Bombyx mori: one gene and its partners. The protein of the gene in region 3 binds, or shares a complex with, the protein of the main gene of each other region. Links are inferred from orthologs where the notes say so. Each region holds a gene or a part of one and is shown on either strand. Other genes may lie near its edges.

The links.
Region 1: DNA primase large subunit (region 3) and DNA primase small subunit share a complex: the UniProt entries of both Drosophila melanogaster proteins name them as parts of the alpha DNA polymerase complex. The link is inferred for Bombyx mori from reciprocal best matches to the Drosophila melanogaster genes Prim2 and Prim1.
Region 2: DNA primase large subunit (region 3) and DNA polymerase alpha subunit B share a complex: the UniProt entries of both Drosophila melanogaster proteins name them as parts of the alpha DNA polymerase complex. The link is inferred for Bombyx mori from reciprocal best matches to the Drosophila melanogaster genes Prim2 and PolA2.
Region 4: DNA primase large subunit (region 3) and DNA polymerase alpha catalytic subunit share a complex: the UniProt entries of both Drosophila melanogaster proteins name them as parts of the alpha DNA polymerase complex. The link is inferred for Bombyx mori from reciprocal best matches to the Drosophila melanogaster genes Prim2 and PolA1.

The regions. Positions count from the first base shown.
Region 1 is NC_085116.1:10,061,276-10,069,256, reverse strand, and holds DNA primase small subunit, read right to left. Parts: upstream 4,168-7,981; 5' UTR 4,014-4,167; coding exon 4,011-4,013; intron 3,943-4,010; exon of another isoform or gene 3,942-3,942; coding exon 3,685-3,941; intron 3,547-3,684; coding exon 3,377-3,546; intron 3,010-3,376; coding exon 2,811-3,009; intron 2,091-2,810; coding exon 1,883-2,090; intron 1,670-1,882; coding exon 983-1,669; 3' UTR 890-982; coding exon of another isoform or gene 870-889; 3' UTR 820-869; downstream 1-819. Other genes in the region: uncharacterized protein LOC101739672, read left to right, coding at 4,911-4,962, 5,109-5,312, 6,949-7,097. UniProt on the Drosophila melanogaster protein: Catalytic subunit of the DNA primase complex and component of the DNA polymerase alpha complex (also known as the alpha DNA polymerase-primase complex) which play an essential role in the initiation of DNA synthesis.
Region 2 is NC_085131.1:8,408,751-8,416,700, forward strand, and holds the start of DNA polymerase alpha subunit B, read right to left. Parts: upstream 4,632-7,950; 5' UTR 4,554-4,631; coding exon 4,478-4,553; intron 4,367-4,477; coding exon 4,114-4,366; intron 3,960-4,113; coding exon 3,914-3,959; intron 3,716-3,913; exon of another isoform or gene 3,639-3,715; intron 3,456-3,638; exon of another isoform or gene 3,376-3,455; intron 920-3,375; coding exon 849-919; intron 773-848; coding exon 605-772; intron 62-604; coding exon 1-61. Other genes in the region: trafficking protein particle complex 6b, read right to left, coding at 7,623-7,748, 7,854-7,950. UniProt on the Drosophila melanogaster protein: Accessory subunit of the DNA polymerase alpha complex (also known as the alpha DNA polymerase-primase complex) which plays an essential role in the initiation of DNA synthesis.
Region 3 is NC_085110.1:5,391,421-5,399,387, forward strand, and holds DNA primase large subunit, read right to left. Parts: upstream 4,489-7,967; 5' UTR 3,961-4,488; coding exon 2,730-3,960; intron 2,243-2,729; coding exon 2,001-2,242; 3' UTR 1,963-2,000; downstream 1-1,962. Other genes in the region: Golgi apparatus protein 1, read left to right, coding at 1,493-1,599, 1,793-1,951; endoplasmic reticulum transmembrane helix translocase, read left to right, coding at 5,746-6,009, 6,085-6,174, 6,926-7,132, 7,237-7,967. UniProt on the Drosophila melanogaster protein: Regulatory subunit of the DNA primase complex and component of the DNA polymerase alpha complex (also known as the alpha DNA polymerase-primase complex) which play an essential role in the initiation of DNA synthesis.
Region 4 is NC_085121.1:13,175,330-13,183,298, forward strand, and holds the start of DNA polymerase alpha catalytic subunit, read left to right. Parts: upstream 1-2,947; 5' UTR 2,948-3,125; coding exon 3,126-3,141; intron 3,142-3,227; coding exon 3,228-3,425; intron 3,426-3,702; coding exon 3,703-3,884; intron 3,885-4,367; coding exon 4,368-4,577; intron 4,578-5,205; coding exon 5,206-5,265; intron 5,266-5,669; coding exon 5,670-6,251; intron 6,252-6,942; coding exon 6,943-7,134; intron 7,135-7,330; coding exon 7,331-7,588; intron 7,589-7,969. UniProt on the Drosophila melanogaster protein: Catalytic subunit of the DNA polymerase alpha complex (also known as the alpha DNA polymerase-primase complex) which plays an essential role in the initiation of DNA synthesis.

The DNA of each region.
Region 1 (7,981 bases), on a different chromosome or scaffold from region 3:
CCGTGGCTAGGTGAGCTCACGGGGCTCAAACCTGACGACGTTGCTAACACGAACCCTAGCAAAAGCCGTGCTTCGCAGAATCTACCACTGGATCGGAAACGCGACCCACTGAGAAGATCCGGCGAGAAACTCAGTGGGCTGGGTATACTGGCAAACTTCAGAGTCGCATATGCAATGTATAACCTGTGCTCACCCTTTCGTATAGTGGTCGAAGTTCAGTGTTTGATCCTCGCGGCGTTTTTGCAGGCAGTGGTACGCCAGTGTTGACAGTGGAATCTCCCCTTACCTTGCCAGAGTTCTGTTTCTGGCGTCGAGTGAGTTTTCATTAGGGTTTAATCGGTAGCCATTCTATTGGGGCAGTTGTACGGTTCACGCTGTCTAATGCTCCTTTCTTAAGACGCAGTCCTTCGAAGGCACCGGAGTCCGACTTAACCCGGTCTGATTCCCCATCAACCAGGAATCCATAATTGAATTCCCCTTTGTAACGAAAAACAGTAGGGGATGCCTACAAAGACTTTATTCTCCACTTATGCGCCATGTATAGGCATGCTAAAGGTTTGAAACGTGATAAGAAACAGTCACATTGCTCCTGTGCATTAACTATTACCATAAGCAATGAAATTTACCTTACGATCAGGTAGACTGTGAGTACCTTCAAATAAGTCAATAAGATGTAAAAAGCCCAACTCATTTCTGCATACTTATGCTTCTGTTTGGATTAAGGGAAGGCCATTATGCAACCTACATTTACCATTTAACAGCAAGTAGACCGTAAGATCGTTCACCCTTACATACAGAAAAAAAACATCAGCCAACCAATTACATATTTTCATTATTAAACTTTATTTGAGAATCACATGTTCATTGATTTAAAAATCCAATGATGTATCTGCAACAAAAATAATAATTATAAAGAGTTCTTTAGACAAGTTCCATTTAAACACATTTAACATTTACTCTGGTTATTATTTCAGTTTAGACATTAACAACCTTTCGCTCCGAAACAAAGGTATTGAGCGAAAGGTATTGAGAAAAATACTAGGACCAGTTCGGAAAGAAGACGGTTCTTGGCACGTCCGGAAAAATAAGGATGTGGAGAGGCTTTTTGGTGAGCGAAATATTCTGGGGGAGATGAAGGCACGGAGGCTCGGATGGTTCGGACATGTAGTACGTATGGAGCAGGATCGGGCTGTGAAACGGGTGTACCGGAGGGACGCCGCCCCGTAGGGAGGCCCAAGTACCGCTGGTGTGACAGCGCCAGTGGTGATAGCGCCAGCTCAGTAGTAGTAGTAGACATAAACAAGATAACAAAAACTAAAATAGTCTTACTGGCATCACTGCGTTTTCTCATAGCTTCAGTTTTCTCCAAAGCGAATACAAGTTCTTGGAAAATTTTAACAGCCGCTTTCATATTAGTTTCATGTTGGTTATTTTCGGCGACACTATCATCTAATAAACTGTATATTGTTGGTATTTCATCGATCTTCAAATTCTTTGCATTTGCTGACTTGAAAACAACAGACACTTTTCCAGTTTTCGGATGTATACTGAATGGAGACTTGAGCAAGTGATTGAAACCTTTTGTCACATTAACATCTAATCTGGGGTAGCAATATTGAATTTTTATTTCTTCTATAAGATATTTTATTTTTCGTATAACATTTCCATTCTACAAATTGAAAAACATGACAAAATAGAGTCATACATATATATGCATATTTTTTAGGACACAACTTCTAATATGTAGGTTAATCTTGAACTGTATCCTTGGAAAAAAATTTAAGCAGTTTAAAAAACAAATGCCAACGACTTTTCAATGAATTTCTAATTTTTAATGAAGTACCAAATTTTTCTTTATGTCAAAATTTTATTATTTTTTTACCTCTCTGCAATAATTTTCATAAATATTTATAAAAGTGTTCCACTTATTCAATGATGGTTCCTGCATTTTTTTCAAAGTTGTTTCAACCTGTGATTTTAACGCATCATCTGGTATCAACTTCAAAAATGAGTTTAGCTTATCTGTTGCTAAAAATTCCTGATCTTGTAATAATTGTTCAAAGTATTTGTCTATTATATTTAAGGCACGCCTGGAACAAGTATTTAAATATACTATTTTTAATTTATTTATTACTTACACTTCATGTATTTTATATATTAGTAAACTTAATGCCTAACTCATTCTCCTTACGAAAATGAATATCAGATCGAACATGAAACGTGTAAATATACAAGGGAATGCGTAACTTCCTCAAGGGAGTGTTATATAAGTTATGTGTAGTATAAAATTATAAAGTGTAAAAGTTTATTAGTGAAAATGATAAGGACAGCGGTATTAAAATTATAAGTTTGGGGGTGATGTCTTACTGTATACACTTGTAAAGTATATAAAGGTATGTATATAAAAGGGACTTTGTGTCAAATCTAGTCCTGATCTTGATATGTGACATTATATCAAGGTAACATTCTAAGCATTCTAAATTCTGATTAGCATGACCAATGTAAATTATTTTCACATGTAACCAATAATAATACAGTGTTACATCATAATCACTTTTCCCTTAGCCTTAGTAATGATTTTTACTGGTCAAAACTCTGGTAATGTGCTCCAGCAGCTTATGAAAGAAAATAATAGTATTTTCTTATTAATCTTCTTTGGATGGGTAGATCGACTCATAAAAGTAATTTTTAATTTTGCGAGAAGTAATTAACAAAATTATTATCAACAAAATTATGATCATCTATCATTTTCAAAAAATATTTATGTAAATCTCATGTAAGAATATCAAATTAAAAAAAAATGATATAACCTTATACTGGAATGTAAGTTTTCATTGCCAAGATGCACTTTTTTACTTTGGTTTTCACCACCTACGATTAAACAAAGGTAATCGGCAATAGCTCCTCGACCTGGACTATCGAGAGTTCTGGCTTCATAATCTGATACCCAACAGTGAATACCACGCCGACCTGAAAATACCCACAGGATGCTTTGGAACCCGAAGTCATCTGAAATTAGTAAGTCAAGGATGTGAATTTGAATTCAATCAATCATTTTGTCAATTATAAGAATCATGAATCACTTGTATCATGAAAATAATACTATAGATGTGGATAATTGAAGTCAAAATCCATTCACTAGTGGAAATATATAAGTAACTAACTACTACAGTGTAAATATGTTTTGGTTTTCTTTTTTTTTTCTATTGGCCCACAAACATCCTCTGCTGGACATATGGTTTTGTAGTTTTTTTTCGCCACCCCAAGTATGCATGAGATAGGTTACATTTTAATGAGTGTGGTGTGGTAAATAAATATAGAAATATAGAAGAATCTTTAATGGTCTGTAGCTCAGTAAAGTAAATCATGTATTTACCTTTTAAAGCTTTATCAATGATTTCACATGCAATAACCATAAATTTCCAGCATTTTTCACACACTCTAGCTTCTTGACAACATGTTCTTATTTCATCATAGTCTGTTAAATCTATATCGAATACTAGTTCTCGCGATATCACTACAGCGTCATGTCTTCCTACAGAAGGCCTTAAATAACGGAAGAATACCAAGTGACAATAAAAGAGTGTAATATTGCTTTTTAAATGCTAATAAATGAAATTTACTTTATTAAATATTCAAGCATGATATTTTAACTTCATACAAACTTTTAGACATAAAACATACTTTGTGTTGTAAACTGCTCCAACATCCAATTTGTGTGGACATTTCTTTTGAAGAAGGGTTTGTAAATCCTTTTGATGCGAAATCGACAAATAACGGAGGTAGACATCGTCAGCTAAAGTAAATGATAATTCTCTGTTACAGAGCGGTTGAGGCGAACTACCGCATGCTAGCCATCTACAGAATATATTTTGCGGAAATTGCCTGGCATAGTAAGTGGGTAGCATATCAGATAGAATGTTTTCATTGTGTTCGCCAATCTGTACAATTAAATTGATATTAATCAGAAGTTTAGTTTTTTATTTAGATCAGTTTGAATTTGAACTTACCATTTTTACCAAAACAACAACTCCTATAATGACATTTTTTTTAGGGATTTCATGACCTGATAACTAATACCTTTAAGTCATGTCTTATTTTAATTTATATTCTTATTTTTATGAAAAATGATAACCAATATGGAGTGAAATGAAATGAAATGAAGATGATTAATTTGAGACATTAATCAACTGGGATGAAATTAAATGAAATGAGATGAGATGATATCTCTCTATCTATAATCTCAGTCATTTTACTGAGATTATATTTCATTCCATACCATCTCATCTCATTTCATTTAATTTCATCCCAGTTGATTAATGTCTCAAATTAATCATCTTCATTTCATTTCACTCCTTAATATCATTTTTCATAAACATAAGAATATAAATTAAAATAAGACATGACTTAAAAGTCTTAGTTACCAAGTCATTAAATCCTTTAATAAAAACTAATTAGGAATCCGAGACCGAAAATTTGTAGAATCGATTAAATGAGTCGTCTATTAACAAAGGCGGCAATCTGTACATTTGGACAAAAAATTTTTATTGATATGTCAATACAGATTTATTTGAATATAATCGTCTCTTTCAAAGAATACGGTTCAAAACCTGCATTAAATAAAGGTTAATAGTTAACCTGTTATTTATCTAAGATGTCGTTCCGAAGAGTTTTGTGACTGCCAATGGAATACAAAGTCAATAATTCGTTTTTCTGATTTACCAATCATTGTCCAAAAGTCAGATTGCCGCCTTTGATAATAGTCGACTCAAATGTAAAAAAAATTTTTTAACCTACCCGTAAACATTTTTCAACTACCTACCCTAAATTTTATTCAGCTTTGTGTGTGAATTGAATCTTGATTTAGTTATTGATGTCAAAACTGCTGAAATTCTGACTACTAAAACAATATGGAAATTAATAAAGACACCGCTTTTTTAATAGTAGTAAAAATGTCATTTCGTAAGTAGGAACATTAAAAAATAACCGTAAACCCTAATTTAATAAGTAATGGATCTTTTAAAATACTTTTCACATGTGTTTGTGGTTTAAACCACCAACAGTATTTACTTTAATTTACGAAAATAATTATTCGTCTATATTTTCAGGTTCACTGCACAATTCGTATTGCAAGACTTCGGAAAAATTTCTTAATGCATCAAAGGTATTGATCGAATCGTTGCTAAGAAAGCCATTGGCAATGACTTTAATAGCAGCCTGGTTATTAAATTTACTGCTTATATCTACGTTTTTTTCTGTAACTGTTATTTTGATGACCTCAACTATATTTCTAGTAATTGTATTTTTAGAAGGTAAGTTACTATACTACTAATATTAGATACTGAATATTAAAGAATTAAAAAAAAAAATATTAAAATTTCAGACAAGGCTGTAATACTATTTAGAAAACTCTATAGCCTGCCTTAGAAAGATAGCCACATCATAAATATCACACATTGTCTCAAGACGAAAGTCATTGACCGGTGTGTGACATATTGCATTATGTCGTAATCGCTCTCAATGGACATTATCAGAAAGCTCAATGTCACCCAAAGAGCAGTGGCGATGGTGATGCTCGGAGTTTTCCGACAACATTATATCAGGAATGAGGGGAAACAAGGTGGACTGACAACTTTGAGATTCGCTGGAATCCACTGGATGTAGGTAGCACAAAACTGGTCGTTGTGGCGAGGTTTGGGAAGGCCTATGTCCAGCAGTGGACGTTTGTAACCTGAAAAATATTCAGCGGCTTATTAACGGGGTACAATATCCGGTTCGAGTCGGTATTTTTGTGAACAGTATGTTGTATTTGAGAACTGGATGACGTATTGTCTGGTATAGGATTGTAGAGTCAAATTTCAAGAAAAAAATTAGAACCATTTATTGTAGAACGTTATATTTTTTAATCAAGACACGAGTAAGATTCATGTCATTGAGATATTAATTGCATTGAAATAAAGTAAAAGGATGACACCATTGTACTGTCTCGTTCATAGATTATACACTTAATATATTTGAGAGTCTCGTTAATAGCGGCTGTCAATGATCTTTTATACAATATTTACTTTCTTTCTTTTTACATATAAAATATCATTGGCGGCTGCATAAATAATTTCAACAGCTAATCAAACTTTGTGGACTTTCGCGTTGCTAGTAGGAATTCTTCTCGGATTCTATTTCCTCCTAAGAATCTTCCTTTCCTCCAAGCAATTCTCAAAGTAGGAAACAATCATAGGAAAAATTATTAAAATACTTTTTTTTGGTTTCTACTCTAGCAGAATCATTATATTGTGTAAAAACAGGAACACATCTTTAGAGATTCTAAGAACAATTTTCTACTGCCTACGCTTATAAAGCTTCATTCTTCCGTCATTTTTACAAGAAGTTCACAACGACGATTGGATACTGGCTTCATTTAAGGAACAAAATCTAATCATTATGCAAATTAACTTCACAACTTTTTCTATAAATTACGAAGTACTAGTACTATTATTATTATTATTTTTTATTGCCCTTGTAGGCAGACGAGCATGCCGCCCACCTGATGGTGAGTGGTTGCCGTCGCCCATGGACTTCAGCAATGCCAGGGACAGAGCCAAGCCACTGCCTACCGCTTAATACTCTCCACAAGCCTCGTTTGAAAAAGGACATGTCATAGCGCTCGGGAAACACCGTGGAGGGGAGCTCATTCCATAGCCGGAGGGTACGTGGCAAAAAAGACCTCTGGAAACGCACTGTGGATGACCGCAGTGGCTCCAGGTAGTATGGATGAACTCTACTCCGGTGGCGGGCGGTGCGATGGTAAAAACGAGATGCCGGTATCATCTCGAACAATTCCTCAGAGCACTCCCCATGGAACATACGGTACAAAATACAGAGGGAACCGAAGTCCCTCCGCAAACCCAGAGGTTCCAAACGTATTAAAATTGATGTTCATGTTTATTGCAGGTGTTTTGTTCTTTTGGATTTTTTACATGTGCTGCGTAATTATCACTTTACTGGCCTTATTAATAATATCTACGATAGGATTTTTACAGCATGTTTATGAAACTTTATATGGAACAGAACCAAGAATAGTAAATATATCAGTTTTATAATATTGTCATGTTGTTTGGTTTTCACTATTGCTCAATGTCCAACAATATTTTTTGGCAATCTATTTATCTATATATATAACAATGACTTGCTGTTTGTTAGTCTTGCTAAAACACGAGAACGGCTTGACTGATTTGGCTAATTTTGGTCTTGAATTATTTGTGGAAGTCCAGAGAAGATTTAAAAGGTAGATAAATATGAAAATAATCGGAATTAAATAAAAATAACAATTTTGTTTTTTCTTTGACGTGTTCTACGTCGGACGGATTCCTTTTGTTTGTTCTAAGTTTATTTTATACAAAAGTTTAGGTCTTTTATTCATCAATTGAGGCGCTACGTAGTCTGCTGGGTCAGCTAGTGTTTGAAAATTTTTTATTCAAAGATAGTACACGAATTTAAAATTTAAAGTATTTTTTTTTTGCATATACGGGCGAATGTACTTGCGTGCGGTTATCGAAGCCCATAGCCAACAATTACTAAGTAAATACCGCCACAAGCTTTGAGACATGAAGTCTAGATCTCGATTGTATAGTACCGGTAATTATGCAAATTATCAGCGGATTCGATTTTTATTATACGATGGTCTTCCTTCATTGTGGAAGTTTTTTTATTTGCTTTTAATTCCATACCTACTTGGGTAGACGTGCTCATAGCCCAACTAGTGTTAAGTGGTTACCGAAGCCCATAGACATCTACAACGTAAATACCGATACCCACATTGAGATGATTAGTTCTAAGGTCTCAGTATACTTACATACAACGGCTGCCCCACCCTTCAAACGGAAAAGCATTCACTGCTTCACGGCAGAAAATGAGCAGGGTGGTGGTACCTATCCGTGCGGATTCCCAAGAGGTCCTACCACTAGCCATTAAGCAAATTATAATT
Region 2 (7,950 bases), on a different chromosome or scaffold from region 3:
TATGTATCGAATGTGATTATCAAACGTACTGGCTTTTTCGTGGAGAAGTTCAAAACCCAACCTAAAAGTCAACTGCGACTTAAGTTTATTTACGAATGTATTTTTTTTTTCATTAACACCTTCATTCATAATAGTCAATTAATAACGGTGTGTGTAAGTAATAATGATTTACATCACTCACATCGATTTTTACCATTTTCCGTACAACAAAAATTGGAGTCACTGTCCAATTATTCCCATATAACAACAAAAAATGTATTTTTCTCGGATTTCGCGAATCGTAGACTCAATTAAAATTATTTATACGGTTTAATAATTTCCAAGGAATTAAGGTTTAACGTCTATGGCGTAAAGCTTCGTTCGTAAACACGAAAACTATTAATTATTCGAAAGGTCAAAAAAAATAAAATCGTATAGATTAAAAACCGTATAAATTATTTAATTAAAACTATTGTTAAGACACCAGGCCAAGTGTGTGGGACGGTGATAGATGATAGTACATTATGCAAATAATGAGAATTAGAAGAACTAGTAACATAATAAAACCAGTATGCAATATTACAAGAATATTCGTCAACGTCACAATCGTACGAACATAACTTACATCGCCTTTGTGTAAACTTCGTCATCGTCATTAGGCACTTGCGTGATTTTCAAACTGAGCACATCATTCGAGCTGTTCGCTTTACCTAATTCTTGTAGTAATTTCTCATCTCCATAAGAATGGACCACCGTGCCTGCGTTTGTTCTCGACGCGTACTTCGCTGAACCGCTGGAATATTCGGTTAAGTATTTACTTTGTTTCAATATTCACATGGCGCCACGGAATTTTAACTTCGTTAACTTACACGGTCGGTGAATAAGTTGCAGGAACTATGTTATTCGGATTTGTCGTCGCGTCTTTTTCGATTTTGACTCTCTGTGAATATTTAAGTTTAAGGATTTGCACATTAAATTAATTTCAAAACAACAGAGTTGTGATATATGTATTACGATATTTTTGCCTGAGGTTTTCATTATTTCAAAAATTTTTTTTAACGCAAATAATGAAGTTAAGGAAAAAATTATGCAAGTACTCGTATGTACATAGTTTTCCTACACTATTTTAATAAATATCAATCAAGGGGGGGGATTAGTGGAGGGTGGTTCAGGGGAGTAGTGGCCTCGCTCAAATAGGACCGGATTTGTCGTTGACGACCAGTGTTTAAAATTATTGGTAGGAGTCTTGTTCTTGGAACGCGAGGTTCGACTTCTGTGAAGTCCACCAACATTTCGCAACTGGAAGTGTACACTCGTTCGAGATAGCACTCTACTTTCACTGCACCAATCCAGTAGGAGTTACGCCTGGGGCGTCCTGTAGGAGCCAGGATCCCTCGACTATCCGGTTCGGTGCAACTGGAGTTCAAGGCCACGCACTATGGACTTTAGCGCACAGCATAAAGTTAACTTAAAGAGCGCCCGGTTCGTTGTGATCCACCTTCACAACTAGCAGGCTGACTCTGGTACAGCGGGGTATCGTGGATCACCAGCGACACAGGCTGGTTCTTCGAATGGGTCACCGACCGTGGTGGCCAAAACACTTATTTTTGCCGACGATATCGCCGCCCAAGCAGATTGCAGTGTTATTAGCGGTTCCCCATATACATAAAATATGTATATATTTAAACGTAGAGAATTATGAATTTCAATCTTTGATTCTCATTTGGGCCAGATGATTGCGATATATGCTGAATTGTTCATTTATTATTTTATTTAACCTTATGACCGTACTGGAATTCTCGGGATACTTGTTTCGAATGACGTACAGTATTAGTAGTTTGGAAAGTTAAGCTAAGATGGCTTCTAAAATGTTGGTAGTCTTTAACAGAGAGAAACGATAGTTCAAGCTCGGGCTAATACTTCTTTTTGTAAAAGCATAGAGGCCCCGCGGATTAGTTTGCTCCTATATCTGTGCCGAGGTTCTTAAGTATCCACTTTTTTCGTTTAACCCAATACAGAAAAGAACAGTTTTGATCGTTTGCTCTATCTCAGTTCTTTTGTAGCCCCTGCATCTATGATTTTACTTTGATTCTTTCGGTATTTGTAGCGTATGAACCATGTGGAGTGGTCTAAGGAATATTCTGAGATGGCTCTGTCATCTCCTTAGTAAGGGAACGTACCCATAGTACGTGTCCCGTTTAGGGCGGGGAGCGGAGTCTTTAAAATACTACGGTCAGTCACAGGAGCGGGGGGGTGGCTCAGGTTTTTGTCACGTAGTCGATTTTAGTGAGAGAAATCTCGTATTTTTTCGACCTATATTTGAATATAGCGCACAGTGCTTAGCGCTTTGTAAACTCACACTACATAATTCACTAGTAATTTAAATGTGCATGCAGTCTTGTGCAATAAAGACGAGTATGAACCAATTTTTATTTTTTCAATTTTTGCCTATGTAATGATTAAAAATCATAATGAATTACTACGTGAAAACTAAAGGGGGAGAGGGGGGGGGTCTTGGCATATACTACGAGTGATCACCGTGGGGAGGGAGGTCGAAAAAACAAAAAAAATAGGTCACGTAGTATGGGTACGTTCCCTAACTGTACCACCCGCCGTCGGAACGGTTTGGTCATGTACCTACTTAGAACCACTCCATTCCTCCCTAATGCGATTCCAGTGATCATTATTGACACTTAAAATCTGGCTCTATAGTGAGTACCCCTCCTTGGCATTCTATGAGCGCTAGCGACATAGTTTTGTATTAAACATGTTTTGAAAAGTCCCAAGACCATACTTTCCCATACTTTTCTAATATTTGGGCAACAATGAACACTCAACATCAGGTGGAATATATGCACAGCTACCTCAAAAGCAGAAAAAAAGTGTAGGTACTCTCAAGCAACTGCATACCAAGAGCATATAACCACAGCCGTGTAGTCTCAATTGGTACATAATTAGCAGACTCTTTCACTGTTATTGTCTTTAATTTTAAAACTGAACTCAAACATAACCTTTATAAGAAATCAATTGTTAGATTAAACATTCACCGTTAATATTAATAAAAAATTAGATATATATTTGTGGCAACTAAGACTTACAAAAAATTATAAACAAGATAAACAATATTTGTACCGGACTGGTTGCAGTACAAATTTTCACATTTGTGAGATACTCATCGTTTTACAGTAGTTAGATTCAAACATTCAGCATTACTTATAGCTGGACTGTTTGATGGTTACCAGAATATACTATTAACATGCAAGTCATTTTTTTAACTTAGTTTAGTATTATTTTAATGCTTCTGTGTGATGTATTTCCAATTTTACAATAACAATATTTTATGTTAAATGTCTGTGATACAAATAGACTATAAAACTTACTCATAAGAAGAATGAGTTGATGGCTGCAGACGAGTATGGATCTAGTCATGATCAATATAAAACATGAACCAGAAGCAAACTCGCCCACAAATATCATCAAGTCACTGGTTGATTTTTAATACGCACATTCCATTTTAATTAGTTGTTATTTATCCACTTCCTTTCTTGATGCTTTGTTTGCAATAATGATTTCAAAATGCATTTATATTTAATTTGTAGGGTAGATTATGAAATGTATGTTTAAAATATTGATACAAGTCAGATGCTCTGAAGATGAATCCATAAGCACTCAATGAGTGTAGATCTAGTCACAGAATCAGCCCGGTGATACTAGACCTATACCCATTAACTACAAATGGAGAAAGATCCGTTTTTCTTCAAATACTCTTCATCAACTGAAAGATTTATTAACACATACACAAAATTCAGTATTAAGGTACTAACTGAGAATTAAGATTCATCGCTTAGAGATTTAGAAACAAAAAAACTACGTACATAACCTTGAAACGTTAACTCAAAACTAACACGAAGTTTATTAAAATCCAGTTACATACCTTGGGCGTTACGGCAACATAACTTGACAGTACTTCACTGTCTGGACTATATCAGTATAGGAAATGATTGCACAAAATTTTTGAAATAACGCTACTAACACAATAGTGTTTTAAGAAACATAATGAATATAAGAAGCACATTTCATAAAGTTATTTTCTAATATACTGCAAATTTCAACGTACTTTGTGTCAAAGGATACGGCGAAGTGGCTTTTGCTCCATAAACGGTAAGACTTTTACCGGCAGCTGGTCGTGTGGTTTCTTTAGCGGACGCGTTAGTTCGGCGCTTGGAAAATTCCTTTCTTACGAATAAATCTAAGTTTTCCAAGTTTGGTGAAGCACCGTTTACATAATTCAAACTGAATGCCATCCATTGTTCGATAAAAGTTTCAGCATCAATATTGTTCTCTTCACATAAATTTACACCTTTGGAAAAATGGTTCGTGAAACAACCTTGAACATGTTATTTGTCAATGTTTAATTACAATCACCATTGATAGAACTTATCGAGCACAGGTAACAGAAAAGACAAACCGTTTCTAACCGTTAAACAAGCTTACTTACATTTTAATAAAACATCTTGTTCAACGTTTATGCCAAAAAATTTAAATTGCTCAGTCACCAACTCTTCGGAGGCCATTTTCTGTAATTGAAAGAGCAAATGAAAGAAAAGGAAGCAAAAGAGCGCCAACGCCGATCCGAAAGTTTGCGTCAAAAAAGAGGTTGCCAGAAACGAAAATTTTTAAAACCTGCCATAGAACAGTCAAATCAGTCGTAACTTGTCTTGTCATTGTAAAGTAAATTTTTAATTTACGAATCAGTGACTTTGTGCTGCGTCGCAAAGATTTCTTTTACGTTTTTGTTTATAATGGTTTAATAAACAACTAACTTAACAAAATCAAAAAGCAAGAAACAATGTTCATTTGTTTTAAATTTAACAGTACCTACTTTAGGATATTATTTGTTTTTTACTAGAAAGAAACTCTTCCATAAACCGAATTAAATTCAATTTACCCCAGTTGAAGACCCGCTTCAAAGAGCTATGTTCTTCACTCACTTGTTGATTATTTCGCCTGAATTAGGTTCCGAGAAATATGGATGACCGATACATTGCCAATCCCTTCTGATTTTACCTGTTTATTAATACAAGCCATCAATAGGGCATATAACATGCTGGAACGCCAGAGTTAATGGTGATGATAGTGCAGGGGTAACCGTCAACGAAGAGCTCCAACCATTCTAAAGTACATTCGATGCGATTTCATGCCTCAAGGGTTCTTCTCGCTTCCCATTTCGCACTTCCCGACACTTCAGCTCCATCCAATATCCTGCCATTAATCATTGAAGCTTGCGTAGTGTAAAATCGGGTTAAAAATTCAGTAGATAGTAGGACTTGAAACGAATGGCTGGCGCCCACCCTCCTGATTATGTTTGCCATCAAACGTCCATTTTCCACTATCGGGTCGCCGAATTTCTGCCCCTTTCTGGTCTCCTTTTTTAATGCTTGTGACGTGTCTCAGTGGTTTCTGGAACTTACGGGGCAGACGTATTTGTGTGTCTATAAAGTGTGGTGAGTTTACGCAGAGACCAATACAGCCCATCGTTCGCAGGAAAGACCGATACCCTCCCGTGTCCATTAGTTCCTCACACAATCCATGACCAAGATTTTGCTATACCCCACCAATCTACTGCTGCTTCACAAGCAGCAATGCAGCAGCAAGCGACTTCAAGGGCAGTCATTGTACTATAGTGCACAATAATATAGGTAGTAGAACCGACTTGAAAACCACAACTCGATGTAGGCGTCATTTACGTTGTTGATGTCTAGAGACTCTGGTGACCGTTTAACACCAAGTCGGCCGTGAGCTCGGTCATTCGTCTAAGCAATAAAAATTAAAAACCATTGTCGCCTCGAAAACCGCGATTCTCGGTTCTTTGGCACCGTAGTGACCACGGGGGTTGTTTGTTTATTTTATACTCATATTTATGCCGGTTTTTCCAGGTCCCACGGTAGTAATGGGGTTTCTTCACTTATTTAAGTACGCACACCTTAATGACTGTAAATACGAATGGACTGTGTAAAAAACTGGTAAGTCAAAACGAAAAACAGTCAAACCCTGGAGATCAGTAGCGCTTTTTTTTTGGCTGATGGCCGAACCTCGTATGAGTTCCCGGCGTCTAGGGGGCACGCTATGTGGGCTTCGACGGTTCACAGATTAGACCGAGGGCCCAAGGATGGTATTTACCCACTAAACGACTCCCCTGCACTTTCGCCAAAGTGTTAGTTCACCCCCCTGAGGTCAGAACCCGGGTGGGGTAAGGCAGTTAGACTACAGTCAACACTGCAAATAGGCTCAGTTCACCCCACGAACACCCGATTGATGGAACCTTCGAGGCGAATCGACAGCTCTGAAACGTCGGCCATCTCACTACGCGAGTCCGTCAGGCCATCCAAGGGGTGCCGCAGATTTGCGATCGCTCTTATGTACTCCCGGGAGACCCGCTAGTCCTGGTAGTGCGCCACATGTATCAACACGCTCAGATCGCCTGGTGACCTTCTGATCGAAACTGAAATCTTCCAAATGTTTGAAGAGTTATCAGCTGTGTGAACCGTAAAGGCAGGTGTAAGCTCAGGTAGATACCCATGGTCTAAGCATAGCTATATGACTCACAGGTGAGATTGCGATGGCCGTGTCCCACTTACGTAAAGAGGTAAACCTTGACTTATGGAGAAAAAGTTTTTCAAATTTGTAAAACGTTTTCAGGGATTCCCATTCCGATTGAAAATATTCATTAATAACAGTAGAGCAGGCTGAGCCATCTATATTTGGAGAAGTGTAGTGTCCCGCTTCCTTTGTTAACCACTAATATTGCTGAATAAGTGCTCAGTGAAAACCCTTTTGTTTTTTACCTTTAATTATGTACGGTTAAGGTGAGAACATCTTGTATTTTACACAATTGTTTTCACAATTAATTGGTAAGAAATTATACATCAAACTGATGGTGCTTTAGTTATTTATCTAGTAATTATTTAATTTGTGTGGTTTACAACTGAGATATCAAGATTTATAAAGTATCTAAGAATCTATTGATATTTATTATGCTTGTTTTTTGAGATCCAATAGTCCTTATATTAAGCAATTACTTTTTTTTTATTGCTTAGATGGGTAGACAAGCTCACGGCCCGGCTGACCTTAAGTGGTTATCAGAGCCCATAGGCTCAAGGTAAAAGCCGCCATCCACCTTGAGATATGATTTCTAAGGTCTCAGTAGTTACAAACAGCTGCCCCACACTGATTTTAATTAATACATAATGTTATTCCTTCACTATGAAAGTCAATTGTGAACATCTTTTGAAAATTTGAAAAATTGGTACCGGCATGCAGGATTTGAATTCCAGTGCATCACTCAATACAAATGCACGAGTCGACTTATCTTTTAGGCCATGACAACTTCAGAATACTTTTAATAGTTACAATAGTTATTACAATCCTGTTTAAGGCTTATAACCAAAGTGAACAATAAAGTGCTTAATACACTCATGGCACTAGTGACCTTGACATGTCCAGGACCCCAAATGTTCATAATAAATAATAGAATATGCAATATATTATTACTCCTTTATTTAAAAAAAAATAATACATTAAACAATAACATAACATGTTATAACATATTAAAACAATGTAAACAAAGCAAATCTAGATTTGTATTATGTTCTTTGAACGTGTATATGAAATTTACATGAAGGCATAGACTGAACTTCTGCTGTGACAATACTGTTAATACAGAGATTAGCCAATCCACCTCGAATGAGCCCACAAGTGTAAGCAACATACTGAAATGGTAAAAACACTGATTTAGAAACAATACTTTGATAGTAAATTTTATTAATTCCAAAGGTCAATGAAAAGAAATATAAGAAATAATAGTTTTTACTCACTCTAGGAGCATATTCCAGGTACTGATGACCATTAGAAAAATTTGTTAGAAAACGGAATGCATTATCTTGAAGTACATAAACTCCTTGGTGGTTTGTA
Region 3 (7,967 bases):
AAATTTGTTTTGTAAGCACAGAAAGAGATAAAAAAACAAGAATTTTAGACTTTATAAAACAACGGCGAATGGAGGGTGCAAATACTACGGCCTTTGTACTAAACATACTAAGCATGTACTTATATAGAAACTGTCCTGGAATAAAAAAAAACCGCTCAAAGTAACAAGGACTTTCTGGAAAATTAATGTGCATTTGGTTACGCTTGACAAAATAGATAGTAATTATACTTACTACTCGGTCAAGAAAGTACTTACACGGAAAATATCAATAATAAACAAAATGTTAGTTATTCATACAAATCACCTTCAAAGTAAGGTTCTTTAATTACCTTCAAAGTTCTAGGTACCACCACCCTGCCTATTTCTGCCGTGAAGCAGTAATGAGTTTCGGTTTGAAGGGTGGGTGGGGCAGCGGTTGTAACTGTACTGAGACTTTAGAACTCATATCTCAAGGTGTGTGGCGGCATTTACATTATATATGTCTATGGGCTTCTGTAACCACTGAACACCAGGTGGGCCGTGAGCTCGTCCACCCATCTAAGCAATAAAAAAGTAAACTCCTTGCAGTTGTGAGAGATAAACCCTCGTAAAACCTCTCTTGGGTTGTGTCTCGGACGGAGATTGGCCGATCGGGCGAGAGTAGTCGTTTATTGGGTGGCCTCTATCATTTTGCAAGTCCCATATAATCAGGACGTAGAAGTTTCGTGCTTAACCCCCGTATCTTTAGTCGTTCACACGAGCTTAACTCGACTCGACTCAACCTCCAACGCGGTTTTGGTATGCTTACTTAAAAAAAATGTGTTGTACCCACGTATATCTGTTAAATCATTATAACAATTTTTTATATGTATTCTAATTCTAAATTATTATCTTGACAAAATTATCTTTTCGGGCGATATCACAACAATAGCGTACTGCGAACGATAGGAATACCACCGAGAATCGACATTGCTATTATCGAACCCGGATGTCCCGCTATATGGCGAGCTCTCGACTTTATCCCATATTGAATATATTACTTTATATCTGCTAATGGCTTTCGTATTCATTCGTTAATAAAAGATTCGGCGTTACTTTTTCTGAATGTAATTTGTATTGTAATAAAATTTTACTACACTATATATATAACTTCTTTATGGTGAAGATATTTATGTATTATAATAAAAAAAATAGATACATAATTTGATTCTTAAAAAGTTTCGTGTCTGCCTTATCACGCTTCACAATGTAATTGATGATTCATAGATTGTGAATTTTATGGACAAAGGACTACGTAATGAATTGTTATTGTTCATTTTAGTATTGTCAACTGTAGATGAATAGACAAGCTAATGGCCTGACAGACCAATGCATGAAACAACAATATGTTGCGATAGCAATCCGCTTTGGCAACAATGAAGATGGACTGTTGGTCGAAACTTCCATCTCACATACTACGCCGCTCAAACATATGCCTGCCAAATTACGAAAGATAATAAAAAAATTTTTGCAGGTCTGAAATGTTTAAAAATTATATCAAATGATGGAACACGGAAGTTGGAGGCAGCATGTGAAAAGGAACTCACAAGTAGATTAGAAATGTATAGATTTGTAGCAGCTGTAAGTTTTGTTTTAATTAATTATTAAGTAAAGATTCATCAAATCAAATCAGTTTGTATCTGAAATAGCAAAATTCCAATTTTATGCTTGATTTTAAGTGTCATAACCAAATATCCTTTAATAATTTTTTTTTTTATTATTCTTTGCTTTTTATAATTGTGTTTACATAATTAATTTGTTTTTTAATTTACAGAAATTTGAAACACTGGGAGATGTTTATCATAGCATATCATCATCACCATCAAAAAAGTATTTCTTAGTTGTAGGTATTTCGATTGTAGGCATAATTTTTATATTTGGTCTGTACTGTGGACATGTTACTAAAAAAGCTATGTATGTTAAGCAAAAATAATAAATGAACTATTGCAATATGAAATAAGTTTTATTTCTGTTGTGTTAGATCATTCCAGTGGCTCATCAAAATCCATAGCATCTATGCTGTCAACAATATCTTTCTTCACAAGATTTTCTTTCTTGGGTTGTACTTTCAATTCTCCTTTCAATATTTTCTGACTCTCCTCAAAGAACTGATTAGGATGATTGATACCTAAACCAACATCTGCATTGTGGATGGCATCAAAATATTTACTGCAGGCAATTTGGAAATGTGTTTTCTTGCTCAACTCCACTATATCAGAAACAACTGAAAATCAAGAAAATTTACCTTTTTCAGTGAAATTTACAACTAGTGCAAGCCTCCATATGTATTAACATTGCTGTTTGCAAAGGAGGCTCCAATGAGTGTTAGTAACTGAGTAACATTTGGCAGTCTATAAATTTTGGTTTCACTTAGGTTATTTTAATATTTTGGCATGTACAATCTACCAACTGATTAGTTCACTAAAGGAGTAATCAATATCTACTGAAGTGTCACCTCATCAATAGTGCAACTTGGTAAATTAAAGGCAATATTTTTGGGAACATAATAAACTAATATCAGTTATTTTAAACTTTTAAGCTTTAGTACATTTTTTAAAATAGTTTATGGAGTTGTAATTAATTTTATTTAGCACACTATAATTACACAACATTAAGTACTTAGAAATGAATACATTACGTTATTCTATTAGTCTGTGTACAAGTTAATGTTGTTGTGGCTTTGATAAAACAGTTATAACATTTTGATTTACCTTGATGACTAAAACCATAGCCAATAAGTTTATTCTTTAGAACACCAGTATCACAGTGTCTGAATGGACATCCATGACAATCTCCAGGACCAACATTGGTATTTATAATCTTCAGACAACTGAATGGTGAATAATTCCTTTTGCTTCCTTCTTTTCCATAATTGTATCTAACATTATAAGCATATTGCTTTTCAAATTTATCCAAATCCATAATCTTAATGAATTCTTCCCTCCAAAACCTTAAAGAGTCTTCCAGTGTCACACCAATACCTTTTAAGAACAAGCCATACTGTAACCTGCCCCCATGTTTTAAGTGATGGGCAATTCTTAATTGTTCATGAAGTTGCCTCATACACAGAGGAAATGACTTGGTTGAAATAGAGTCCAAGCTTTCTATGGGTATCACAGCTTTAGTTTCAGAATAATCATTACCTGAATAAGATTGATGTAAGCCTTTTAACAAACAAACAAGTCGTTCATCTTGTTCAATTTCACACAGATGATGGCAAGCTTTGGCCAAATTTTGTTTTAAATGTGTTCGATACTGTGCTGCAAGAACTGATATGAAATCTCTGTGAGGTATATAAGCGTATCCATCATTAAGAAATACTTTTCTTGCTTTAACCAAATCTAGAACTTCAAAGAATTTAACCTTATAGAATTTCATATTGTCTATTTTAGAGTAGGGTGTAGATTCTATTAAGTTTTGTATTACTTCGTTTTTTTCATCTTCAGAAATAGTAGTGTAACATAGATTGTTTAGTTTAAAGAATACCTCTACCGCTTCGCCTCTCATGACAGCAAATCTCATTTTGAATAGTTCCAATTCCCTTGCGATGAACCAACGTCGCAACTCTTCAGTCCGACAATAAGCAAGTCGGAGTATAAAATGAGCAATGTGATCTTTTCTTCGGGCTTCAAAATCTGCTTTAGTAGATCCACAACCCGATTTCTCACACAATTTAGCATAATATTTCAAACCCTGTGCTCGTAAATCGTTTAGTACGAATTCCACAAATTCTTCTGAATTTAAACGCAACCCTCGAAGAGTTGTAGCTGTAGACAACGTTCTTAACAAATTTACACGCTCCAGAGCTAATGTTTCAAATTCTTGTAAAGTGATGTTTTCAACCGGTGGAATTTTGTACAATTGTAAGTCATGTGGATAGAGTTCGAATTGATTACCTGTTGCTGGAGTTTTGGTAGATTTTCTTTTAACTTTGAAATCCATACTTTTTTATATATTTAATAATTACTTTTAACCTTTATTGTGTTATAAATTCTTGTTATTAATAATGTTCATATTAATAATGTTTAGCACTATTGTTACACTTGCTACTGGAACAATTTTGGCGCCAGTTTTTACTATATAGGTCTATGAGTTTTTGTAGACACAAATCACAATAGTGACAAGTAACAGTGACAGACATCATTGTTGATTTGTCCACAAAAGAGACAAAGGCATCGTAGCCCAAAATAGCTTAGAATAAAGATTAAATCCATTTTTGTCTTGTGTTTGTCTCAGATTGATTTTCAGCTTTCGCAGTTTTGTCCATAATGAAAGAACGATATGACTAATGGTAATTGCTTTTTTCATGACCACACAATGACAATAACGACAAATAAAATGGGATTTAAGACTAAAATAAAATTACAGCAAGAATTTTCATTGCCTTCGAAGGCTATATACTGTATATACGAACCTCTGTGAAACTATAAACATAAAACCATGTTCTTACAAGTATTAAAATACTTAATCCGAAACCTGATCTATTATTGAAAACAAGTTTTTTATGATTTCGTAACAATTTTAAAAAGCCATTGGTCAGACCAAGTGACTGAGGAATTCAAAATGCTAATGCCTCAGGCTCTAAATTAGGACGAAACCCGTGGCGAGTAAAGAAGTTTACAGCGTTTCAGTCGAAGTTACGAAGCTTATTAGCGAGGGAACACTTTAAAACGAAAAGTCCTGAAATTTTGTTTATCGTTACTGGTAAATTGATAGTTCTGATAACATTGCTCTTGTTAAAATAACGGTTTTGTATAGATAGTGATAGCTTCATTACAGCACTTAATAGATAAATCGCTTGATGTCAATTTATTCTTTGTTATACTTAGTGGCCACACTGGAAACCGGTAAATAGAACTTCGGGGTGATGTTGATGCGAGGGTTGAATCAGAGTGAGGTAAAATAAAGAAATAAACTCATGGGATTAATAATTTTTTATAAAATTTTCAACGAACTAAAGTTTCATAATTAAATGTAATATTTTAGTTAAGTTGAATAGTGTGATGGATCAAATCATTATTTTATTATTATACTGCAGACAAATTATCCTGTTCGTATAATTTGCGCTGACTATGCGCACGTGATTTTAATTTTCTACTATATTTATTATAGAGTATTTCTATGACTGGGTCCCACAAACTGCCAGATTTGTTTTCATCAATGTCTGACGCCCACCGTAGTTTCTAGAGTAATTACCAAATTTTTTAAATATCGTGTTGAATAATAACAAAGATTCGGCTCAACGAATTTATAGTAACGAAAATGGCTTTATATTTTAGTAAAGAAAATAAATAATAGTTTAAAAAAATGTTTTATCCTAAAATATCATAGCTAAAAAAATTTAAACTATTCATCAAAACAAATCACTCACGAGTTGTGGAAATCTTATTTCCACTTAAAATGGAATGCTGAAAATTACAAAAATCTGGATTTGTATACTCAAACAGTGAGGCTGATGTGGGCTAATGACGTTGCTGGTAATGCACATGTTGTTGCTCTTTCCGGTTTTACACTTCGGTCATTCTCTATGCACTTCACTCACTACTTTTGCAATTTACAACATGTCAATAATCTGTCAAGTTGGCTAGACTCCGAAATCAAACCATTATTTTGAATTAAAACCAATCAATTGAATGGAGCAATGCTGCGTGATAGTATCATTTAGTTAAAATTTGGCAACTGCGTTAGAATCCGTATCAATTAATAGAATTTTTCATAGCGACATCGATGGTAAAGATGCAGTCGTCACTAGATGATTTAGTTCAGTATACACAGCTTTTCAAGCCTGTTCCGACTGTTTTACAAGGCACGGTTTTGCCTTTTCTATTTATTTACCCTCTGGTTTTTTATTCATGGATCGTTGTGTACGGTATAGAAGATAATTTCGAGGCAGGATTCGTGACTGTGGCTGTGATAGCAACAGTCCAGATCCTCATATGTTTGTGTTGTTACTGGAGTGTTCATATCAACTGCTTCCTTTCTTGTTCAGCGGTAAGTCCTTAGACAGCAAAATGTTTTTAAAAAGAAATTAGAGACTTTACATTTGCTATATGATGTTGATGACAGGTTAAAGATCCAATACAAGCTGAGGTAGTCAAGGTTGTACCGACTTCTAACAATGGATCATCTGAGCTTGTTCGACTACATCATACGAAGGTAAGACTTATATTGTGAACTTTAACAAAAACCATATTAAAATTTTTCAACTGTGATGTTCACACAGTATTGGAATAAAATGATTTACATCTGCATCACATTGAAGGTACCAAGTTATTGGTATAGTGGCTAGTAAATATGGCCATACCGTATCCCATAGTCTTAGATGTATTCTATTTGGTTGTTTTTTTTGGCATTTGTATTGGCAAGTATTTGGCATTAGGTAGGGATCGCAGTGTATTTGTTTTCTCTTTCAAAAACAGACACATTACATGGTAGAAATCTCTGTACTTTCAGGTCTTTGAATGTGGAATGAATACAAATAGCCACAAATATTTTTCCAGCTTGTTCATGGTTTTCAAGTTTTAAGTTTCAAGTTTTACATTCAAATTCTTGTCGAACCCGTCACTTGCAACGAAGGGCTCGATGAGTAACTTAACCCTCAGACACAGGCCACTGAGTTTTTCGCCGAATCTTCTCAGTGGGTCGCGTTTCCGATCCGGCGGTAGATTCTGCGAAGCACGGCTCTTGCCAGGGTTCGTGTACGCAACGTCGTCAGGTTTGAGCCCCGTGAGCTCACCTACTAGTTAAGGTTCTGCTGAAATAGCCTCCCAAGGCTATCAGCTTATGTAGGAAAAAAATAACATTCAAAGTTAATGATAGTACAGGGTACAATTTAGAAAAGAGAATGAGGGCTTCGAGTCGATTTTCACTAAGTTCAGGTTTATTTTAAAATATATTTGATTTACAGTCAACAAAAAAAGACAGTATACACCCAGATGTTTGGTTCATATTTCAAAAGAGTAAATATGTGTATGACTGGGATAAAAAGAATTTTCACACCATAGAATTTCCTATCAATAAAATTTATGAAGAATATATGGAATCCAAAGGATATTCTGATGATGAGGCTATTGATTTAGCAGAAAAAGAATTTGGTAAAAATGAGATGGTTATGGTAAGTAATCTTTGTAAAATCATAAACATATATAAATGAAAATTAAATTAAGAATGTTATTTTAAAAATATTTGAACCATACAAACCACTCTACAAATTTTCAGGTTGTTCCGGAATTTATGGAACTTTTTAAAGAGAGAGCAACAGCACCATTTTTTGTATTTCAAGTATTTTGTGTAGCTCTGTGGTGTTTGGATAAGTATTGGTATTACTCAATATTCACACTAGTGATGTTGGTTATGTTTGAATGTACATTGGTGCAGCAACAGCTCAGAAATATGGCTGAGATCAGAAAGATGGGCAATAAGCCTTACAACATTAATGTATATCGAAACAGGAGGTGGAGACAAATAACAAGCGATCAGCTTTTACCGGGTGACATAGTATCCCTCACAAGATCCGTCAACGAAAACCTGGTCCCTTGTGACATAATACTCTTACGGGGGTCCTGTATTGTAGATGAGTCCATGTTGACTGGTGAGAGTGTTCCACAAATGAAAGAAGCTTTGGAAAATGAAAAGGACCTCCAGCAACATCTAGAACCTGAGGGTGATGGTAAACTTCACATGCTTTTTGGTGGTACTAAGATTGTACAACATTCCTCACCATCCAAAAGCTCACCTTCAGGGCTTAAAGCCCCGGATAATGGTTGCATTGGTTATGTTATACGTAATGGTTTTAACACATCACAGGGTAAACTGCTAAGAACCATTTTGTTTGGAGTGAAAAGGGTCACAGCTAATAATCTTGAAACTTTTGGATTCATAATGTTTTTGCTTATATTTGCTGTAGCTGCTGCGGCCTATGTGTGGGTCAAGGGTTGCGAAGATCCTGA
Region 4 (7,969 bases), on a different chromosome or scaffold from region 3:
ATGTATTATAAATGCATAATTAAAAAAAAAAAGCATTGTGCACTCCTTCTCTATATTCTCTATAAGTGTGGGAAATTTCATACTCCTCCGTCGAAGCAATTTCCGTAAAAAGGGGTACAAAGTTTTTTCTTCAGGTATTAATATATAGATATTTAACAAATCTCTTATCTATTGAGACTTTATCGTAGGGTATATATGTATTTTATTGTTACATATTTTTGTCTGTTTATATATCTCTATATATTTCAATTCCTGCAGCATACAGTGCCTTTACCCCTGACTCTGCTGAAATCCAGAAACGGCAAAGAATGTTCATCATCATTATCAGTAAAACCCACACCGGTGTCTCTTCAAAAACTATACTTATTCAATTGTAATTATTGGTATTTGTTGTTAAGTTTGAATAACTCTTATTTTTATTTTTATTTTATAACATTTTGTAATCTTGTAACTGTATGTGTGTACTGTAACTGTTGTGTACTATGTAAGTGTTATCTTTTGGCACAGAATTTATCAATAAAAAAAAGAAGATCTCAAACACTATTATGTGAAGTGTAGGAGAGAACTATTTATAATTTTGCTTTTTTTGAAATTTTTATTAATCAATAAATAGATTAGGTGTAGCTTAATCTATAATCAAATAGAAATAAATCAGTACAATATCCTGAATTACACCCTAATGACAATTCCAATTAATTAATGTTACCTGTTCAATAGAAGATTAAGTTTGTAGTAGATCCCTAGAAACATGTGATGTGATTGCATGGTTAATGAAGCATCTCCTAGAGGTTGTTATTGGGTTGCAGTGATTAACTACATTAAGAAATCTATTTTTTAATTGAAATATAGATAAATATCTATATTCGTATATGCAACATGACTATACTATAATATGTACCTCGCACAGTAACTAGTTTCCCAATATGTTCAGCCTTAACTTCTCTGATAGGTACACTTTTCGATGTTGACAAGTCTTTGAAGTACACTTCACTAAAATAAAGAAATACTTATTTTACAAATTGTTATTTCATAATATGGCAATTTAATTTGACTTTAAATTAAAATCTATTCTTCTATTTAATATGAGTGAGTGGGATGACAAATCAAATTAGGTAAATAAAAGTTTTAAATGTATTTTTTATACAATCCAAACCTCAATCTAACTCATATAAAGGAATATAAAGGATCAATTCTTAAGAAAAAATCTCTCATAAGTTAGACAAACCTAAATGTATTACCAGTATACTTGTTTATTTACAGTTAAAAATTCTCAGAACTTAATATAAAAACAACTTACAATCTCCTGATGAGCTCTGGTGGGTATCTGTTCCTAGGATCCCTCATTTCTCCAGGAATCCTGTGGTTTCTGGCTTCCAACATAATTCTGTGCTCAATGTATACATCCAAGGAATCCTTTGCTACTACCTGATATTGTTATATAATTTGTTTTTTTAATTTTGAGTTATATTATACTGTGATATAACATTCAAACACTAATAGCTCAGGAAAGACTACAATAGCAGAACCGTTTTTTGTGTTGCAATGTCCAGTGGTTAGAATAATTAAGCATTAGCTTTAACGAAACAAACATTGCATGTGAAAACAATTTTATATAAAATTTTATTTGATAATTCATTTTATTTATATTTGTGTAACACAACTGTAATGTGCAACACACGTAATGAAAAATATTCTATTCATTTTATACAATGAATGAAATTATAAGGTCACATACATTATGTACATTTACGCAGCAATTTGCACATAAATGCTTTCTGTTATTGTTAGTATAATTGCTTTTTCCCATTTTTGCTACAATCTTTAAGCTTTGCATAATTATATCAATGCTTACCTCTTTGAATTTGTAATCAGGCAGCATTTCATAAACCACGTCTGACACCATATTAGTGTATCTTCTGGTATTTTGTTTGACTGCCTCAGTCAAATCTTCATTCATCTCATGTAAATCATCCAAGTCAACTTCAAATGCTATCTATAATAAAAAATTAGTTTTTGTTATTAACGTCTTCTTGCTTCCTGTGTGCCCTAAGCAGGCAGTCATGATGTGTATTGAGGTTTAGTTTAGTTTGATTTCAGTTACATAAAAATTTCGGTAATTTAAAGTATAATTCATACAACAAGCTATAATTTTTTTTAATCCTAACTTTCTGTTATCCTAATAACTGTATACACATAAATAAACTAATCTTCATTATCTGCTAATAATCATTATCTTGATCCTGCGATAGTTTACAATAAGATAACAATTATACCTTATAGTAAAACTGGAAAAATTGTCCCAGCAATAAAATAAGTGAAATTATATTATTATATCATTCAAAGAACTAGAAACTACAACTACCCTAACCTCAACATAGCATTGTATTTTTATTATTATTATGAACCGAACAATCTTACCTGTTCTCTGTGTGCAACTTTAGTAAGTTGTTCAGCATATTTAAAATACTTTTTTCCTTCATCATCAGTTTGACAAAAATCAACGAAAAAGTTCTTGAAAGATTCTGTAAAGGTTTATTGAAATTATTTAATCGTTCATAATTTTGGTAATATGCTCGATCTTCTTCAAGTACCTTTATCTGCAGTGTAATCACGCATTGCCATTATGTTAGAAATATGTTATTCGAATAATTGCTGTCTTCAAATACTAATCACAAATGTATCACCAGCACCGATCACAAGCATCACAACAAATGTTTTTTGACAGTTACAAATTGGCGCGAAATTTGTGAAACTAAGAAGATTTTTATTTCTAAATGGATAGGTAAAGGGAACAACTCGCATATTAAAAGTCTTCTAAAAAAGGGCAAAAACGAAATCTACGACATGCAAATTTCACACCATATACCTTATCCTTTAGTAGAACATGAAGACTTTAATTAATTAATTTAGAAAAGAGATTCGACTGTATAGTATGATATCCTCGCCCTTTCTGTTGCAAAACGGAATACAAATATCAAATGTCAATCACAGCTGAAGGCTTTCAAAGTGGATACGCGCCAAAATATCTAAAAAGAATTTAACCTAATCAAAATATTAGTGTTTCTTGTAAATGTAAATTGTTTTAAACTTATATATGTGTACAAAAGAAAAGCTATTAAAAGAGAATGGCCGATTCAATAGGTACTGCAATACTTAAGTCTGTATCTAGGATGCATTTAGTTTCGAAACTCCTTGAACATTTAACAAAATGTATTTACTGTTTGTAGCTGCTCAGCGTGCGAAGCGACAAAAAACAGACCGACACGGTCGATTCTCGGCGTTTGAGAAGCTAAAACAATTAAAAGGGAAAGGTGTAAAGCATAAGTACGATGTGGATGTGCTTGAGAATGTGTACGACACTGTTGACGAGAAAGAATACACAGAAAGAGTTCTACAGCGACAAGAAGACGATTGGATAGAAGATGGTAAATCCATATTACAAATCAGTACATAATTTTTAGTTTCAACTAATAATATTAACTAGACTTTTCAAAAAAGTTTCACATATAAATTTTCAAAATCCTTATTTATTAAATGTTTAAAGTGACTACAAACCGAATTGAAATTTTCAAGTGAGAAAACATCCATTCTGTAAATTAAATGTGCATTAGTGACACAGTAATGTTTGTTTTCAATACTGGCTATACTTAACGAGTGAAAAATATGTATTAGAAGATTCAACTAATGTAACAAACTTTTTAGATGGTACTGGCTATGTTGAAGATGGAAGGGAGATATTTGATGATGATGATGATGCTTATGAAGCAACAAATAGTAAAGATACAGGCAGAGGACAGAAAAGGAAGGCCAAAGTTGCAGCACAGTCCTCAGGAAAAGGGAATATACGAAACTTAATTGGTAACATGCCTAGTAAGAAAAAAGAGGTTTGTTATATTTCATTTATTTAATTTATATTTAAGAATGCAATCCATTGATATCTATGATTATAATGTTTTAGATAGGATATTTTAAGTACTAATTAGTTCTTATGTATCGGGGACATCCTTCTGATAATTTTAGGAAAAATATAAAAACTATAGTCTTCTATAGAGTTACAGACTATGACAAATATAATTATAGTCTAGATTCCAAGAGAAAAGTGCAAAAACTTAATAATTTTTTGCATAATATAGATCCAACCTTATATTTCTGAAATAAAGATTAATAAAAAAAAATATTTTTATAACCTGTAATCCTAGTAAAAACAGGGTTAATTTAATTTGGTACTTGAGCAACTTTGACTACTTCTCTAAACTAAATTCCCTGTTTAATTGCACATATTATCAAATAATTGGCAACTTGGTAATGTTTGAATCCTAACTTAATTTTTTATTAGTAATTTAATATGTTGTTTTTCTTTCTTTCAGGATGTAAAGATTTCAGAAGATAATATTTTATCTGATATTATATCTGATTTGGATGCTAACACTGCATCAAATGTAGTAAAATCTACACTGCCTATAACTAAAACTAACATTGTGGATACAAGTAAGAGAGATGCACAAAACTACTTCAAAAGTCTTTCTGCTAACGTCAAGAAACCTTCTGTACTAAAAACATTCAAGGAAGAAAAGGAGGCATGTATCATTTTTTCATTTGTATCGAGTTATTAACTGTTAGTCTAAGGGGCTATTCCAAATACTTGGAGAATTTGCCAACACTAGCCTTAGCGCGAGCAGTTCTTGGCAGAATTCACCACTAGATCAGAATCACGACCTATTGAGAAGATCTAGCAAGAAACTCAGCCAGCTGTGTCACTGGTTAATTCGGTTGTCGTTATCGACGAGTTCGACTAGGTCCGGTGCTTGAAGAGCAAAAAATGTCAAAGATATGTAAAAAGTATGTAATTAGCAGTGACCAGAATAAGAGAATTATCATATCCCGCCGCTTTGTCGAAATAGCGTTTTGACGATACCTAAATTAGTTACGTATTGGTTCTAAATTTAAGTCTTCTGTGCTTTTCCTGTAACCTGATTGGATAATTATTTATAAAAGTATAAATGTTGTAGTAGCTGATACTGAATAGTAATTTATTCATGTAACACAATTTGAAAAGTAAACTTCGCATTAAAAGGTCGTCGAAAATATATAACGAAATGTATTTATGCAGAATGTACCCATTGAAAATCGTTCTCTCTACACAAAACAGATGTTACATTACTAAAATAATTTGCAACAGCAAGCTAAAACTTGTTATTATTTCAGACTGAAAGTATTGAGCCAGACACATCTGCAGTACAGTGTGAAAAAAATATGGTAAATATGGTAAAGTTAAATATTTTTTAATTGTATTTTAAATATCCTTGATATTATTGATGATGACAGATTACCTACCTAATGATTAGTGGTTTCTGCCCCTTGTAGACATCAGCAATACCAGAGCTACACATAGCCAATCTCCTGTGGACACTTTTCGAACCTTGTTTAAAATAGAACATCATAGCAATCCGGTTAGCATGGAGGGTGAGAGAGAGCCAGATGATATCCAGTGCTATAGAAGAAACAACTCCTTAGTAATTCCATAAAACCTTCGATAATAACATGGAGACAACAATCATTCTATTAACTCTATTCTATAATTTATTACATGTAAAGTTTGTTTTTGTTTAAATAAAGTGTAACAGCCACAGCCTACAAATATTAACAAATATATTATTTTAACCTCACAGATAAATCATGTGGTAAATGAACCTGCAAATAAGAAAATCAAGAAACCAGAATGGAACATTGAAAAAGAAATCAAGCAAGAACTTAATGAAACGCTTACTCCTAATATAGAAGAATTTGAAACACAAGATATTGACTTTGACGATGACTTCAGCAATGATGCAAAAACGTCCCAAGTGAAAAACGAGCCTGTCAGCACCGGAACTATCACCGAAAATCCTACAACAGACATCACTGATGAATTTTTCAATGACGAATTTGAAATATTCCCTTTACCAAAGAAAGAAACTACGAAAGAACTGAAACCATTGACTAGTACATGGCCAGAACAAGGAGGTGACAACCAAACTGTGTCTTCAGTTCAAAGTGATGGTCAATTACCACTGCAAACCAATGAAACAGGGGAGAAAGTGCTTAGATTTTACTGGCTTGATGCATGGGAAGATCGGTTTGTAAAACCAGGCGTTATATACCTATTTGGAAAAGTTTATGTTGACCCATCAAAAAAGAAGGCTGGATGTGTATCATGCTGCCTTGTTGTGAAGAATGTTAATAGGCAGATATTCCTGTTGCCAAGAGAATATGTAAGTTTTTTATTGCTATAAATATGTGTGACTCGTAGTGCTTCCCACTTTGCAATATGAGATTGATATCTCAATTAATTTAAATTACTGCCTTACCCTTCACACTAGAATGCAAAACTGCTTCACGGTAGAGACAGACTGTAATGTCTACACTAACAGGCTTACAATTTAAACCAAGATGGCCCTTTGTCATAGAAGGGTAGCTCACATAGTAAAAAACCTCTAATTTTTAACATGCTAACTGTTGCTGAATACTGTAATTTAAGTACGAAATTTCATGTCTCCCGCATAAAATAATACAACATTTACCACATAGTGTACTATCGAATTTACTGGTAAATGTTTTCTGTTTGTTATGTATACTGAAATCATAAGTTATATGCATTTATGCAATGCGATGTGGCAGTTTGGTTGTGTCCTCCACCGAGGGTAGCTCTCATCAGTAGTATATTCATTTTGTAAATAAATAAGTTTATAAAATGTTTAAAAAAATTACAGTAAATAAAATCCAATAAATTATTTACAAGAAAATTTAGTATATCATCCATTCTCTCAGGCTAAATTCTATAGATGTATATGTATTTATTTTTTACTGAGACTATGTTATGTTGAACGCAATTTCCTTTTAGTCAGGTAAAGAAATTATCACTACTATAAAAAATATAATATGCAAATTCACATTACTTTTCAGAAACTTGACCCAATAACCCTTGAGCCAACAGAACAAGAGGTGACGATGATGGATATGTATGAAGAGTTCAATAGTTCTGTGGCAAGTGAACTCAGTCTCCAAGAATTTAAATCACGAAAGGTCACCAAGAACTACTGTTTCAATTTGCCAGATATACCAGCTCAATCTGATTATTTAGAAGTTAGATACTCGGTAAGTTTTGTCTTGATTTGTTATGAAAAAAAAAATGCTTTTCTTATTTATTCACATATAATAATAGAATTATTCTGTTATATCCACTCAGCGTTAAAAGTTTTTAGTCTAAAGATTATTCATGACCGAATACTTCCTAAAAACAACAAACATTTACAAACATAAATTAATACAACTTCTGATATCATACTTGCAGGCAACTCTCCCTCCGCCTCCTACCAACAAAAAATATTTGACATTCTCACATATATTCGGAACGAACACATCTTCACTAGAAATATTCCTACTAGAGAGGAAAATCAAAGGGCCCTGTTGGCTTGAGATCAAGAACCCGGAAAGCGTCCAAGCCAAAGTGTCTTGGTGTAAATTGGAAGCCTCGTGTGAGAAGATGGAACATGTTAATGTTGTCCGAACGGACGGTGACTTAGAACCACCTCCGATAGTCACAGCTGCTGTAAGTCTACTAATTAAGTAATAATAGATTCGAATTATATATTTTTTTAAATTTAATTAGACTATGATTTCTTCTGTTCAATGTTATAAGAGCCACCCTGCTTGGCGAACTTTAGAAAAAAATGCTATGAATATACAGCCCTAAATGTGCTCAAAGTTCGAAGTTCTACTGCTGTAAATACCATTTTCAAACGCATCCATTATTAATTTAATGATCCTAAACTCTAAGAAAATTCTGACTATAATGTACTTCTAACCCACCACTGGGATAAGCGCAAGGCTTAATAAACAGCGTTAAACTTTTAAATGGTATTGATAAAATATTACGCTTAGTATTTTTTCGTTTTTCCTGGTTTACACATAATTAAAGTATGTCTTTTAC